Linked DNA regions of Nothobranchius furzeri. The protein of the gene in region 2 interacts with the protein of the main gene of each other region in a pairwise test. Links are inferred from orthologs where the notes say so. Each region holds a gene or a part of one and is shown on either strand. Other genes may lie near its edges.

Region 1 (4,508 bases), on a different chromosome or scaffold from region 2:
TGTGACCTGTGTTTACACTAGCCGACAGCATGGATGCCCTCAGAGCTGCGCTCGCTTTATCAACTGTCCAAGCGCTTTCTGCTTGTTTGTTTTTGCAAGCGGACTTACTGCTCCTTGCTGAAGACCACAGACGAAGGACGAGGTTAAGAACGGGGGAAGTACTGCCGCCTACAGGTCTGGCATGTCCTTAACAACGTATTTATCCGGGTACGTGTGGACAGAGTTTCTTTTTAAAACGAGGTGGCGTGGATGCAAGTTTTTGGAGGGGCGTATATTCGTTTTTAGCTTTAGGAAGTGATGGACTGACACTGAGGACAATAAGATGAAATCGGTGTCACTAGAACGACCTGCAGAGTGGGCAGATCGATGAAGATGTGTCTGTCCAGTCTGCCTGGTCTCATCAGAGCATTGTCCAGAATATCTGCTCTGTTGGTGGAGGCGAGGACTATGACGTGGTCTGTGGTTCCCATGCCTGCCGAAAGAGAAGAGGAGGTGGATTTGAACGATTCATCCTTTCATCTGATGTGTGGGATCTGGCGGCTCTGCTCACCGTCCATCTCCACCAGCAGCTGGTTGAGCGTCTGCTCCTCTTCGGTGTTGGAGAAACCCGACATGTTGGTGGAGCGCTTCTTTCCTACGGCGTCGATCTCATCGATGTAGACGATGCACGGCGCTCGAGCGCGAGCCTCTTTGAACAGACTCCGGACCCTGGCGGCGCCGAGACCTGCGCACAAACAACACGAGTCACGACGCATCTCACGTTGACAAAAGCTGCTGTGTGCGACGAAGCCTAGCTGTGGGTGTGAGCGCCACCGGCTCAACTACGGTTATGGTTTTTATTCACCTCCTATGACCTCCACAAACTCAGAGCCGGCCATAGCCAGAAAGGGAACCTGAGCCTCCGTAGCTACGGCCTTCGCTAGCAGGGTTTTGCCACATCCAGGAGGTCCAAGCAGCAACGCACCTTTGGGAACTTTGGCTCCCAGCTGCAGGTACCGCTCTGGACTCTGCCAACACGTAACGAGTTTATTTACACATTATTGTATTACATATCCACTGTTTGCTTCACAAGAGTCAAACAAACACTAGTGGAAAGTTCAAGTGTGGTTTCTGACCTTTAAGTAATCGACAAATTCTTTTACTTCCATCTTCGCTTCATGCAGTCCCGCTACATCCTTGAAGCTCACGCCTTTACTCGATTTCCCGTCTACAATAGTGAACTTGGCCATCTTCAGCTGATTCTGCGGGGTTTGTTATAATACATGGTTAGTCTGCTGTTAAGTAAAGACAACAGCTCTTGTTGGGTTTTTTTACTCACAAAAGCGCTGAAGCCGCCGTCCCTGCCAACCATGCCTGCTAGTCGGAAGATGTACCAGAGAATAGCTACGCCTACAGCAGCCATCCCCAGAGCATAGATGGTTCTGCGAAGAGACAACGTTATCAAAATGTTACAACTGGTCACATTTCAAACGGTTGGCAGGAGATAAAAAAATAAAATAAAAAATAATGTTGCTCAATTTAACTGGCCCAGACCAAAAACCTGTCTGAATCAAACTCCTGTTTGAAGAAGAGGTTCAGTTTCGTACTTCCCAAAGAATCCCGTGCGTTTGTAGGACACCGGGATTCTATCTTTAACGTCAATGTTCAGCTCCTCCTCTGCTGCTCTCAGCTTCTCCTCAAACTTGTCTATGTTAGCAACCTGCATCCTGTACATGAGGGCCAGCCTCTGCAGAGGAAGACACGTGAAGCAGATCAGACGTTAGCATGCATGTCTCGTTTGCTCTTTGGCTTTTCACTTTGCACAAACTCCCACGCCACTTACAGGCCTTCCAAAGATAACGGCCCCCGGGTGAAGATAAATTTCCACGATGTCGCTCTCAGGAACCACCTGCACACGGGACACCTCTCCTTTGACCAACATCTCGTTGACAAAGTCGTTCCAGGAGATGTTCCCACCGCTGGTGTTGATGGAGTTCAGTAGGCTCATGATGAGTGCAATGATGAAGAGAGTGCGCAGGCGATCGCGGTACATCTGATCCTCCTGCTCACGCCGCTTCTTCTCTTCTAAAATGTAAAATGTGACATCAACGGGATCAAAGGAAGAGAAAAGCGGGAAAAAAAACTACTCATGGTGGATTTTTACCTTCATCTTCCTGTGGAGTTTTTCCCTTTGATCCAGAACTTTTATCGTTCTGTCGTTGAGACTGAGACGCACTGAAAAAGTGCGTTGCTCCTAAGATTAAAACGGTTTTAGACACAGTGTTAATACTGGAACATAAATATATTCATGGTGGAAATGGGACTGATAATCACCTAATAGATTAATCAAACCAACTGGATTTCTCAGTAGGTTGTTCCTGATTAACTCTTTGCTAAGTCCCACCATGCTAGATCCTAAAGGTCTGTGAAGAAGACTCTGAAACATGAGAATGGAGTTAAAACTGCTGAGAGCAGAGCAGATAACAGTTATATGTTACCAGAGAATAACAAAATCGCTTTCTATTGAGAATAATCATCTTGGAAAAAAACAGATTAAGATCATATTTAAAGGTCAGGATCACTATTAAGGAATAGGATTAGCCAAGACCACAAAAAGAAACCAGCTTTTTAGTTTTCTTTTAAAAATCTACAAATGTTTCTGCTTACCTGGATGAGTTTACTCTGTGTGCGACTTGTCAGAGCCCCCTCTGAGCTTGAAACAAGCGTCTTACCCACGTTAACACACCTTGACAGCACATTTTTGCCGCTATGGGTGTTGATGAGTTTGCTTGCAAAAGCATGAGAGTTACGCTTTGATAGCGACAGGAATAAACATCTGCTGCGCCTTCTACAAACAGCCGTGCTGTGCGGTAACAACATGGCCGACATGGTGTTTTTTACGAGTCAATGTGAACATGAACTGACTAGTAGCAGTCCCATAACAGCAATCCTTAGTGAAGCTCAGAAATGTTAAAGGAACGTTTGTTTACCCCCAACCTTGGAGCTAGCATCATGCTACGTAAGTCAACGGCGACTGCTCTTCGTTGGTTTATATCGGAAGTTCTTAACCAGGTAACGGGGAACCAGTGCCACCCAGTGGGCACAAAGTGTCATGTATATTTTCATTTAATAAAAAGTGGTTAAAATCTTTGAAAATGCAGCTTTTAAATCAACAATTACGTAAAAAATTAACCTGAAGAAAATAAATATCTATATCTTGTTTGTTAACCAGTCTAAGTGTTGGGATTTTTGTTTTGAAAACCAGTTCTGAAAAGCCTGACATTAAGAATTTGCTGTGACAAGTGTTTCAGAATCACATAATGTCTACACATAGTTCCAGAAGAAAAAATATATAGAAATTTAACCAATATAGTGTACTTTCAAATACAGTATATTCTGTTTAATTATTCTAAGGTTATTATTTCATATTATTTCAGTGTTGAATCGTATTTTAGAACATTTAGAAAAATGTGTTAATTTGAAATAGGAAATAACACTCTTTCTGAGATTTTACATGGATGAAGAAAAAAGCTTCATATTGGTACCAAGAGCTAAAAAACGTGAAAAATTATTCGTGTGTAAGTTTGAGTGTTTGCTATTATTACACAAATAGCAAACAAATAGCACGAAAAAAGCAATATTTTAAACTCCATCATTTAAAAGTGAATATCTTAGAATAATTATCTATATCGATGAAAGGTGTTGATTTACAACCATCCACCAGATGGCGACCTTGTTCAAGAATACTCTATGGATCGCTTGAACCAGAGAAATAATGTAAATGCGCGTTTGTCTTCATTTACACAAATGAGTGGATTTTATTATTTTTATGTGTTTTATTTGTTAATTTCTAAAAAATATATGTTGTTCTAAATTATTATAACACTACTTAAGTTTTACGACGACACTCCTCTTCAGTAGCTACAGTCGGGTAATTTAGCTTATAACGTGTTTAGTACCCAGAAAACATAAACTAATGTTTTATTTCCCACCGCGGTTGTAAACAACTACATAGTCCAATGACACACGTACGGGTCAGTGTGAATGGCATGTGAAAACCCAATAAGTAGAGAGACGTTTTCCTCGAACCAATAGGATTTCTCGTATCATCCCTTTGCGGATACGTTCAATTTTGCACCGGAACGCTCCGTTTATCCGCTAACTTCATCTCCTAAACACAAACTCTTGTAAAGCGACAAGATTGTGCCATTTATCAGAGCGCTGCTTAGATCATTTCTTTTGGGATAGGAAATCTAAGACTAAAAAGTGCTTTTTTGCATTTGAAAGAAATATAAATTGAAAGATCACATAAGAATTTAACAAATTATTGCTACTTCTTTAGAAATTGTATTGCTACTTTTTTTTTAGAAATTGTATTGTTTCAACTTCTTAAGTGCATAAAAATTTGAATGATGCCACGTTCACAATATTCTGATTTACGTTTTAAAAAGAAAAACAACAACAGTATGGATGTCGAAGGATATTAAAACGAGTTCACCCAGTGCCCGAACTCCATTTCCTTTTCTTAC
Region 2 (3,007 bases):
TTCTGGGAGAAAGTATTGCCAGATTTTCGTAAATTTCTTCTTTTGTGTTCTGCCATTGGAATGAAATGAGCTGCAGTCTTTTGTAATAAACTGCAGAAGGATATGTGATCCAATAAAAAGCACAATGAAAACAGACACATGTGCGGTGAGTACAATTAGATGTGTTTTTGTAATTGAAATGTCTTTTTTACACTACAGTTACAAGGTCACAACACACAGATTAATCAAAAGATAAGGCAGAGAAGGAAACAAAGGGGTGTGCAAGTGTATGTGTGCAGATGTACATGTGTAGCCTGGTCTCAAATATCTATTCTAGACCCTACAGGTTAAAAGGATATAAATATTGTGTAAAGCCTTTATTGTAAATATTTCATATATTTGAAAAAACAAGGAGTTCAAATGGTTAAAAATGTGTTTAAAATCACAATAAATAGAAGTCAATCATAATTTGAGTGTTCATGGAGTTATAAGTAACAATGAAACTAAAGGTTTATCTAATGTGAAACAAGGAAAACTTTGTATTGTTTCAAGTTGTTTTACAAGTTCATTTTGGGTTGTCAATCTTGTATTTTCTTTTATCCCATTGGTTGATGTAAACCTACTGTCCAATCAGACGTAAGGGAGGCGGGAGCTAAGTGAGGCAAAAGAAAGAAAAAACAGCGAAGCTAGTGAGAGTCGGCAGCAGCACGTTGCGGGAGGAGGTTGTGTACCAGAGCTAATGGAAGAATAGTGAAATAATAGCCGTGGATGCAGAGTCTACGTTCCTGTTATGGACTGTTTTACCCTGTGATGAGTGAGTACTGAATGTGGAGTTAGCATTGAGCTTAAACGGAATGTATAAGTACTTAAAATGTATGGTGCTAATCGCGAGTTAGCATGTTAGCATTTTAGAGCCTGTAATAGCTATGTATGTCGAGTACGTAAGATACAGCTTATTCTGTGGAACTAAATAGTAATCTCTAATGCACAGTGGACCGAGAGGAATTCTCTGGACTCTTCTGCTGTGGATAGGAGTTCTGTGTGGTTGTTCCAGTGTACTCAGCAGCCCGGGTATGCCGCTAATTCCGACCACCTTGCCGAGTGGAGGCCGCATGGTCACCAACCAAGACTGCCCCTCCGTTTGCCTTGCACTTAGCCCAAAGGATTCATGAGTAGACCTGAGCACGTGTGTTTTGTTTTCTGCTGGTTATCAAGTGAAGCGGCCATTTGTTTGTTTTCTGGCCCAACGAGCCCAAGCAACGATCAGGCCTGCAACGGTTTCAGTGAATGAGCTCACAAAGGTTAAAACTGGTTAGTCATTGTTTCTCCTGTTTACCAATAAGATTAGTTAATGTACCCAGGGCCCCGCTCATAGTACTATCACCATCTTAACCGAGGGTTAATCCAGAGCTACTTGAGTTGGGTGCTACACATTTGGAGGCACCGCTGGGATTGTTGTTGTTTTATCTACATTTTAAGTTACCACTAAATCTGCTGTAACCTTAAAGTAACTAAGAGTAACACTGGTCCTAAAAAGCAACTTCAATTAATCTTTTTTTTCCCCCTACAAAGTAACTTGTTAAACTATGGCCACTAAAAGTGATGTCTCACAACCGAATCTTGCAAATTGGTGCAGAGGTGAAGGGCTCGATCAGGCACATGCCATTCTAGTTGTCGGAGTGCCTGAAGAGGAGGACCTATCCACAGTAGAAGAAACACTCGAACAAGTAAAAACCTTGGGCAAGGTAAGAGTAAGAGGAAAAATGTTTGATGCCAATAATCAAACCCTGACCATGTTATGTGAATGCTGTGAAGCAGTCGATCCTACCAAAGTTCCGCCAGAGTTGATTTCCTTTAAGGATGGAAGTAAATGGACAATAGTTGTTGCAGAGCAAGAAACGAACTCCGACCTATTCACAGAGAAGTTGGACAGATTTCTGCGTGATGAAGGGAAAACAATGGAGGATGTTCAAAGACTATGTGATCCTAGAACTCCATGGAACAGCAGCCCTGAGTCAATCATTCGGGTGGTAGGTGATGTGTTGCAGTCCAAGCCAAATGAAAGCAATTTATACCGTCGTTTTAGAATCTTCTCAGGAGTCTACCCTACTCCACCTGGTGAAGACAACTTGGATAGCTGGCTAGAACAAGTAAAGTTCATGACTGATGAGTATGAGTGCTCAGATAAGGAGAAACGCCGAAGAATTATTGAGAGTCTCAAAGGGCCAGCGCTGGAGATCATTCAAGCAGTGCGCATGTCTAATCCCCTGGCAAACCATGTGGACTGCATACAGGCATTGGAAAGTACCTTTGGTACCGCAGAATCCGGTGAGGAACTGTATCTCACATTCAGAGCTATGCATCAAAGACAAGGGGAGTGCTTGTCTAACTTCTTGCTGAGACTGGAAAGATTACTGAACAAAGTCGTGCAAAAAGGAGGCCTACAAGTAGATGAAGCCAACCGAGCAAGGCTTGAGCAACTCATTAAAGGTGCTACTGAATAAGACTTCATGCTGCTTCATCTAGGTCTTAGAGGTAAGCGAAGTGATCCCCCGACATTTTTAAGTCTACTGAAAGAAATTCGAGAAGAAGAGGAGCGTGAAGCTGCAAGACAAAAACTGAAAAAACCAGCACAGAGACAGCACGTGCATGCAGTGCAAGTAGCAAGTGAAACAGACTCCAGAGATTGTCAGCAACATGAGTTTCAGTCCGAAATTCAAGTGCTAAAAGAAAAGCTGAAAGAGCTCAGTAAGCAGTCTCATTCTACAGAGTCAAGCCACAAAAAGATGTCCAGAGAAAAGAAAAAAGAGAAATCAGACACAAGCAGCGAAGTGCAACAGTTAAGAAAAGAAGTCAAAGAGCTGAAAACACAGTTAAGTGTCATGTCGGTAACGCCACAACATTATGCAAAAGAGAGAGGGCACTATTCTAAGTTCAAAGCGGACTTCAGTCCAAAGTCATCTACCTTTAAGCCAAAGAGTAGTAAAGAGTCAGATAATTTCTGCTACAGATGTGGAGAAAATGGCCA
Region 3 (4,254 bases), on a different chromosome or scaffold from region 2:
CAGCGACCTGCTGCATGTGTTTCAGCAGGTCACAGTGCTCTTCACGCAACGCCTTCAAACTGGGAATCGACTGCCATGGAAGGACTAGCCAGTGGTAGCGGGCTTTGGGGTATTTGTCTGTAATGACAACTACTCGGTCATCCTTGTAAACCTGGAAAATTGAGACAAAGTTATGCGAGTTTAAGAATGTTTAAAGAGCAAGTCACCCCCAAATCAACGTTTTTTTGCTGATAAACTATATAAATGTGTGTCTAATTGTGCTGCAGACATGTGTGGTCAATAATTTGGTACTTCAGTGCATTTTAGTTAAAATTTAAATATTCTGCCTAAAACTGTCAGTGTTGCACCGTCGTCGGGTAAAAACTCTGCACTGCATTGGAATTTAAATCTGCCGTGGCTATTGGCTAAGAGGTATGCTATGATGTAAACTGGTACATTATGATGTCACAATGCCGTTGTGAGCCTGTGTGTGTGTATTTGTTAGCGGCTCCGCCCTCTCTGTCTGCTAGGCAACAGCATTTGTTGCATTTTTCAAACAGGAAGTGAGAGTTGATTAAGAATCTGGTAGGGGTGACTTGCTCTTTAAGAAAACGCAGTCGTCCATATTGCAGTACCTGTATACCTGCATACTGGGGTCTTGCATTGAAGTCTTCAGGCCTTGGCTCCAATGTCCAACACTTACCTACGGCAAATATCAGAAAACAACATTTATCTGCATGAAATAAAATGACCACCAACAATACAGGTGGTCCAAAAATGATCAAATAAACAATAAAACAAGAAAGAAACACATATCTCTCTTCTCACATTTGTTTTTGTAGCTTCTACAGGACTGCCTGACACGGCATCCTTTTCTGTGTGTATTGTTGCTTTCATAGTCAGAGTGCTTTTCTGTTTTTCTCCATCCTCTTCTGTAGGCTCTCTTGGTCTTCTGTCTCTCTTGTCGTTTCCAGTGAGATCTTCTTTGAACTGGACAGTGTATGGGTAAAGCTGATTGACAACGTGAAGATGCTGTCCAGGCTTCATTTTCACCTCGTTGCCCTTTCCCACCACCGCAGAGTCCACAGAGGTGGGGTTTAAACCCAGCTTTGGAGCCATTCATAGACAAGTTTAAATACAGATTATTACAGAGAGCAGACCTGCTAAACACACAGCAAGCATATTCAAAGAATACTGTCAAGACTGAGACTTTAACAACAAACATCATCATATAATTATTAATTGTGCTTCTGTTGCTGATAAATTAGTAATCCAAACTCTCTCACCTGTTTAACTTTCACATAACCTTTGTTGCATTCAGCTTTCAGCTCAACTGGTTGGGAAGGATAATAGTTAAACAGGTTAAAGGATTTTTATTTTCACAAAGCTAATTAGTGACAAATTTAAATAAAAAATAAATAAAATTAAATTGGGGGAACAGGATGTCATTTTTAGATATTTGAGCACGCTGTTACTCAGATCTTTTGGTCTTCTTCAGTGCCATAACTTTAGTTACCAATTACAGCGTAAAAATTAGAATATATAATTCAAGAAAAATTAAGTGGCTAAATATGCAATGTATTTATATACACCTGGAAAATCCTAAAAGTAAATTGATGTTTTCACATTACAATATATGATCACGTACTCCTGCAATGAAAAGTTTTGTTTTGAAAAGGATAATTATAATTAAACTTGAAAGGTTGAGGAAAATTTATGAAATTGCATAAAGAAAAAGTTAAAATAAACCAGAAGTAGAATAGTTCAGGAATGGTCTGAGGACGCCTGCTGTGCTTCTGAAGCTGACCGTATTTGTTACGTTTTTATCATAATGGCCTCTGAATGTGATTTAGAAAGAAAACTATGTAAATGGTGCATTTTTACATGATGTGCTGTCTTTGAGTTGCTTTAATGGCAGAGCGCCAGCTGAATTATTTTAGTCCTTCAAAATAAAAGTCTAAAAATACGCAGGTCTTTTAAAAACCTAATTTGATTCTAATTATCCTTAGAAGGAAAGAAACTTGAACGAATTAAGTACAAAAACAATGTAAAAAAAAACTACTACACGCGTGTTACGCATTACAAATGAGGCGCAGCGACAATAGAGAAATTACCTTGTTGCCTGGAGCATTTTTTGTCTTTGATAGTCGTTTCTGGGCCTCGACCCAACACGACTGTCTGTAAATGCGGCAGCTGGATGGGTCTGTGAGTTCCTTTCTTACTGATAAGCCAGCAAATTGGCATTTTATCAGTCATTTAGCGTTCTCCGGCGGCGAGCAAATATGACGTAACCACCACATCTACCGGAAATGCGTCATCAAGATTACTATCACAAATGTTACTCAGCAAAAGAAAAGCGAATTTTACGTTTTTGTCAGAGCTTTATTTTTTAGAACATTTCGTAGCGTAATAACCATAGTTTTTTTTACTGTTCAAATGTGTTTTTCTAAATAAGAACGCCTTCAAAATGAACTTCTCTAAAGCCCGACTATCATCTAAGGGGGCAAAACATCCGGGATGAATGGAGAAAGTGACTGGAACAGCATGGAAAATTTAAAAAGAACGACAACAAATTAACCAAGACTATACATTTATTTCATCATTTCAGTTTAGACACAGCAGCCCTCTAAGTGTTATTTGTGTGGTTGTTATGTTTTTTTAGTTGTTTGTTTCCTTATCCTGTATTTTCCAGTGCTTAAATATATAAATTGCAACATGTCAACATGACATATTCCCCTTTTCTCCAATTAACACATAATCAGTTTTTATTTAAGCAGGTTGGACCAAACAATCTTTTCTATTTCTATTTCTCATCTAAGAACAGCACTGACATTTCTAGCAGAGGCAACCTCAGCAAGAAAACTGACATATTCATTACTATCATTCAAATCAGGAATCAGGTGCAGGCTAATGTTTTCAATTTAACGTTAATATTAAAAAGTCTGAACTTTTCGGTATTTGTTTTTTTTAGCATTAAATTAAACTCAGGATCCTACAACCGTTTTAATTTAGGATTTAGTACTTTAGTAGGATAAACTAGCCTACCGCGTTTATAAGGTAAATTGAGCAGCGCAAGAGATGTAAATTTTAAAGTAAACTGACTTTTTCCACTTCTGCAGAAAAAAATTGCAAAACAGTCCATTGCATTGCATCGCCATTCTTTCTGTGCGTGCGCTTGTTTTCTTCATCGGTTTTGGCTAAAGGGGGTGTTGCCACACGGTTTCGTCGCCAAAAAGTGACGTAACGGGGCGAAACGTTTGGACGCAGCACGGGACACGGGTGAAGATTCTAGAAGACAGTCGATGTGCGGTTTGGCCTTGAAAGGGTCTTAGTTGTCTTCATATAAGGTTGGAAATTAGCTATTTTCAAGTCATATTTTGTATATACCGGTCTCAGGTCAAATTTTTTGCTAACAAATAGAGGAAAACAACATTGATAGCGTTGGATTTTTAATGTGGTGTTGTACCGAGAAAAATACCCCTGTAATCAAGCCTCTTCTCGCGATGGTCATCTCTGCTTTATTCACCATTTTTAATAAATTGTGTTGAAGTCAAAGATGATTTAAAAAAAAAGGTAACTCGTGGTTTTATTTGCTTAAATTTTACAATTAGTTACCAAGACTTGATTTTAGCCACCAAATCAACACCGTTTTCTCCTATATACTGTACTGATGCGTGATAGATACATTTCTGTTACATCAAAACATTTGTTTATAATATTATTGTAAAGTGCTGATGAACAGAGCTATTTTCTTTTTCAGTTTTTAACGGGCTAGTGATGTGTCGGTTTTTCAACGGAAGCAACTGCTACCCGTAACGAAATGCGCATTATGACAGGGTAACTTTTTTCGCCACAACACCAGTTCCACTAGCTAAAGCAGCTACATGGGGCCTTATCGTTTCTTTTTTGTGTAAACTGGAAGCCATACGGTCATATAAACGTTTATGAAAATAAGACACTTAAATGTTTTCAGACAATAGACGAAGACAAATTATGTTTCTTCTGTTTGTTTTCTGTTAACTCCTACCTAAAAATACTGAGTGATATAAACACCTCGCGACGTAAACGGGAAACTTCTGCTCTCACTGGCTAATTAAAGTTAAATAGCAAAACTAAGATTTGTATTCTTATATTAACTTGAATAACGTGTTCTGGTAAGATTGTAAGTCTTTTGTCATTACTAATTATTATATTAATTCAAGTACAGGTTAAATAGTTAGTTAAATGCATTTGCATTAAAATAACATATTTCACAATCTTGCAAGAAAATCTAAT

The links.
Region 1: the proteins of paraneoplastic antigen Ma1-like (region 2) and spg7 interact in binary tests that used the Homo sapiens proteins (3 or more experiments, as listed by UniProt). The two-hybrid records come from large-scale screens. The link is inferred for Nothobranchius furzeri from reciprocal best matches to the Homo sapiens genes PNMA1 and SPG7.
Region 3: the proteins of paraneoplastic antigen Ma1-like (region 2) and aptx interact in binary tests that used the Homo sapiens proteins (3 or more experiments, as listed by UniProt). The two-hybrid records come from large-scale screens. The link is inferred for Nothobranchius furzeri from reciprocal best matches to the Homo sapiens genes PNMA1 and APTX.

Annotation. Positions count from the first base shown.
Region 1 is NC_091749.1:64,823,659-64,828,166, reverse strand, and holds the start of spg7 (mitochondrial inner membrane m-AAA protease component paraplegin), read right to left. Parts: upstream 3,020-4,508; 5' UTR 2,869-3,019; coding exon 2,647-2,868; intron 2,417-2,646; coding exon 2,314-2,416; intron 2,234-2,313; coding exon 2,144-2,233; intron 2,065-2,143; coding exon 1,823-2,064; intron 1,727-1,822; coding exon 1,587-1,726; intron 1,422-1,586; coding exon 1,319-1,421; intron 1,242-1,318; coding exon 1,116-1,241; intron 1,008-1,115; coding exon 845-1,007; intron 725-844; coding exon 551-724; intron 473-550; coding exon 348-472; intron 1-347. UniProt on the Homo sapiens protein: Catalytic component of the m-AAA protease, a protease that plays a key role in proteostasis of inner mitochondrial membrane proteins, and which is essential for axonal and neuron development.
Region 2 is NC_091745.1:26,674,361-26,677,367, reverse strand, and holds paraneoplastic antigen Ma1-like, read left to right. Parts: upstream 1-1,565; coding exon 1,566-2,483; downstream 2,484-3,007.
Region 3 is NC_091746.1:79,993,835-79,998,088, forward strand, and holds the start of aptx (aprataxin), read right to left. Parts: upstream 3,020-4,254; 5' UTR 2,236-3,019; coding exon 2,094-2,235; intron 1,313-2,093; coding exon 1,266-1,312; intron 1,143-1,265; exon of another isoform or gene 1,103-1,142; coding exon of another isoform or gene 1,087-1,102; coding exon 808-1,086; intron 683-807; coding exon 623-682; coding exon of another isoform or gene 615-622; intron 152-614; coding exon 1-151. UniProt on the Homo sapiens protein: DNA-binding protein involved in single-strand DNA break repair, double-strand DNA break repair and base excision repair.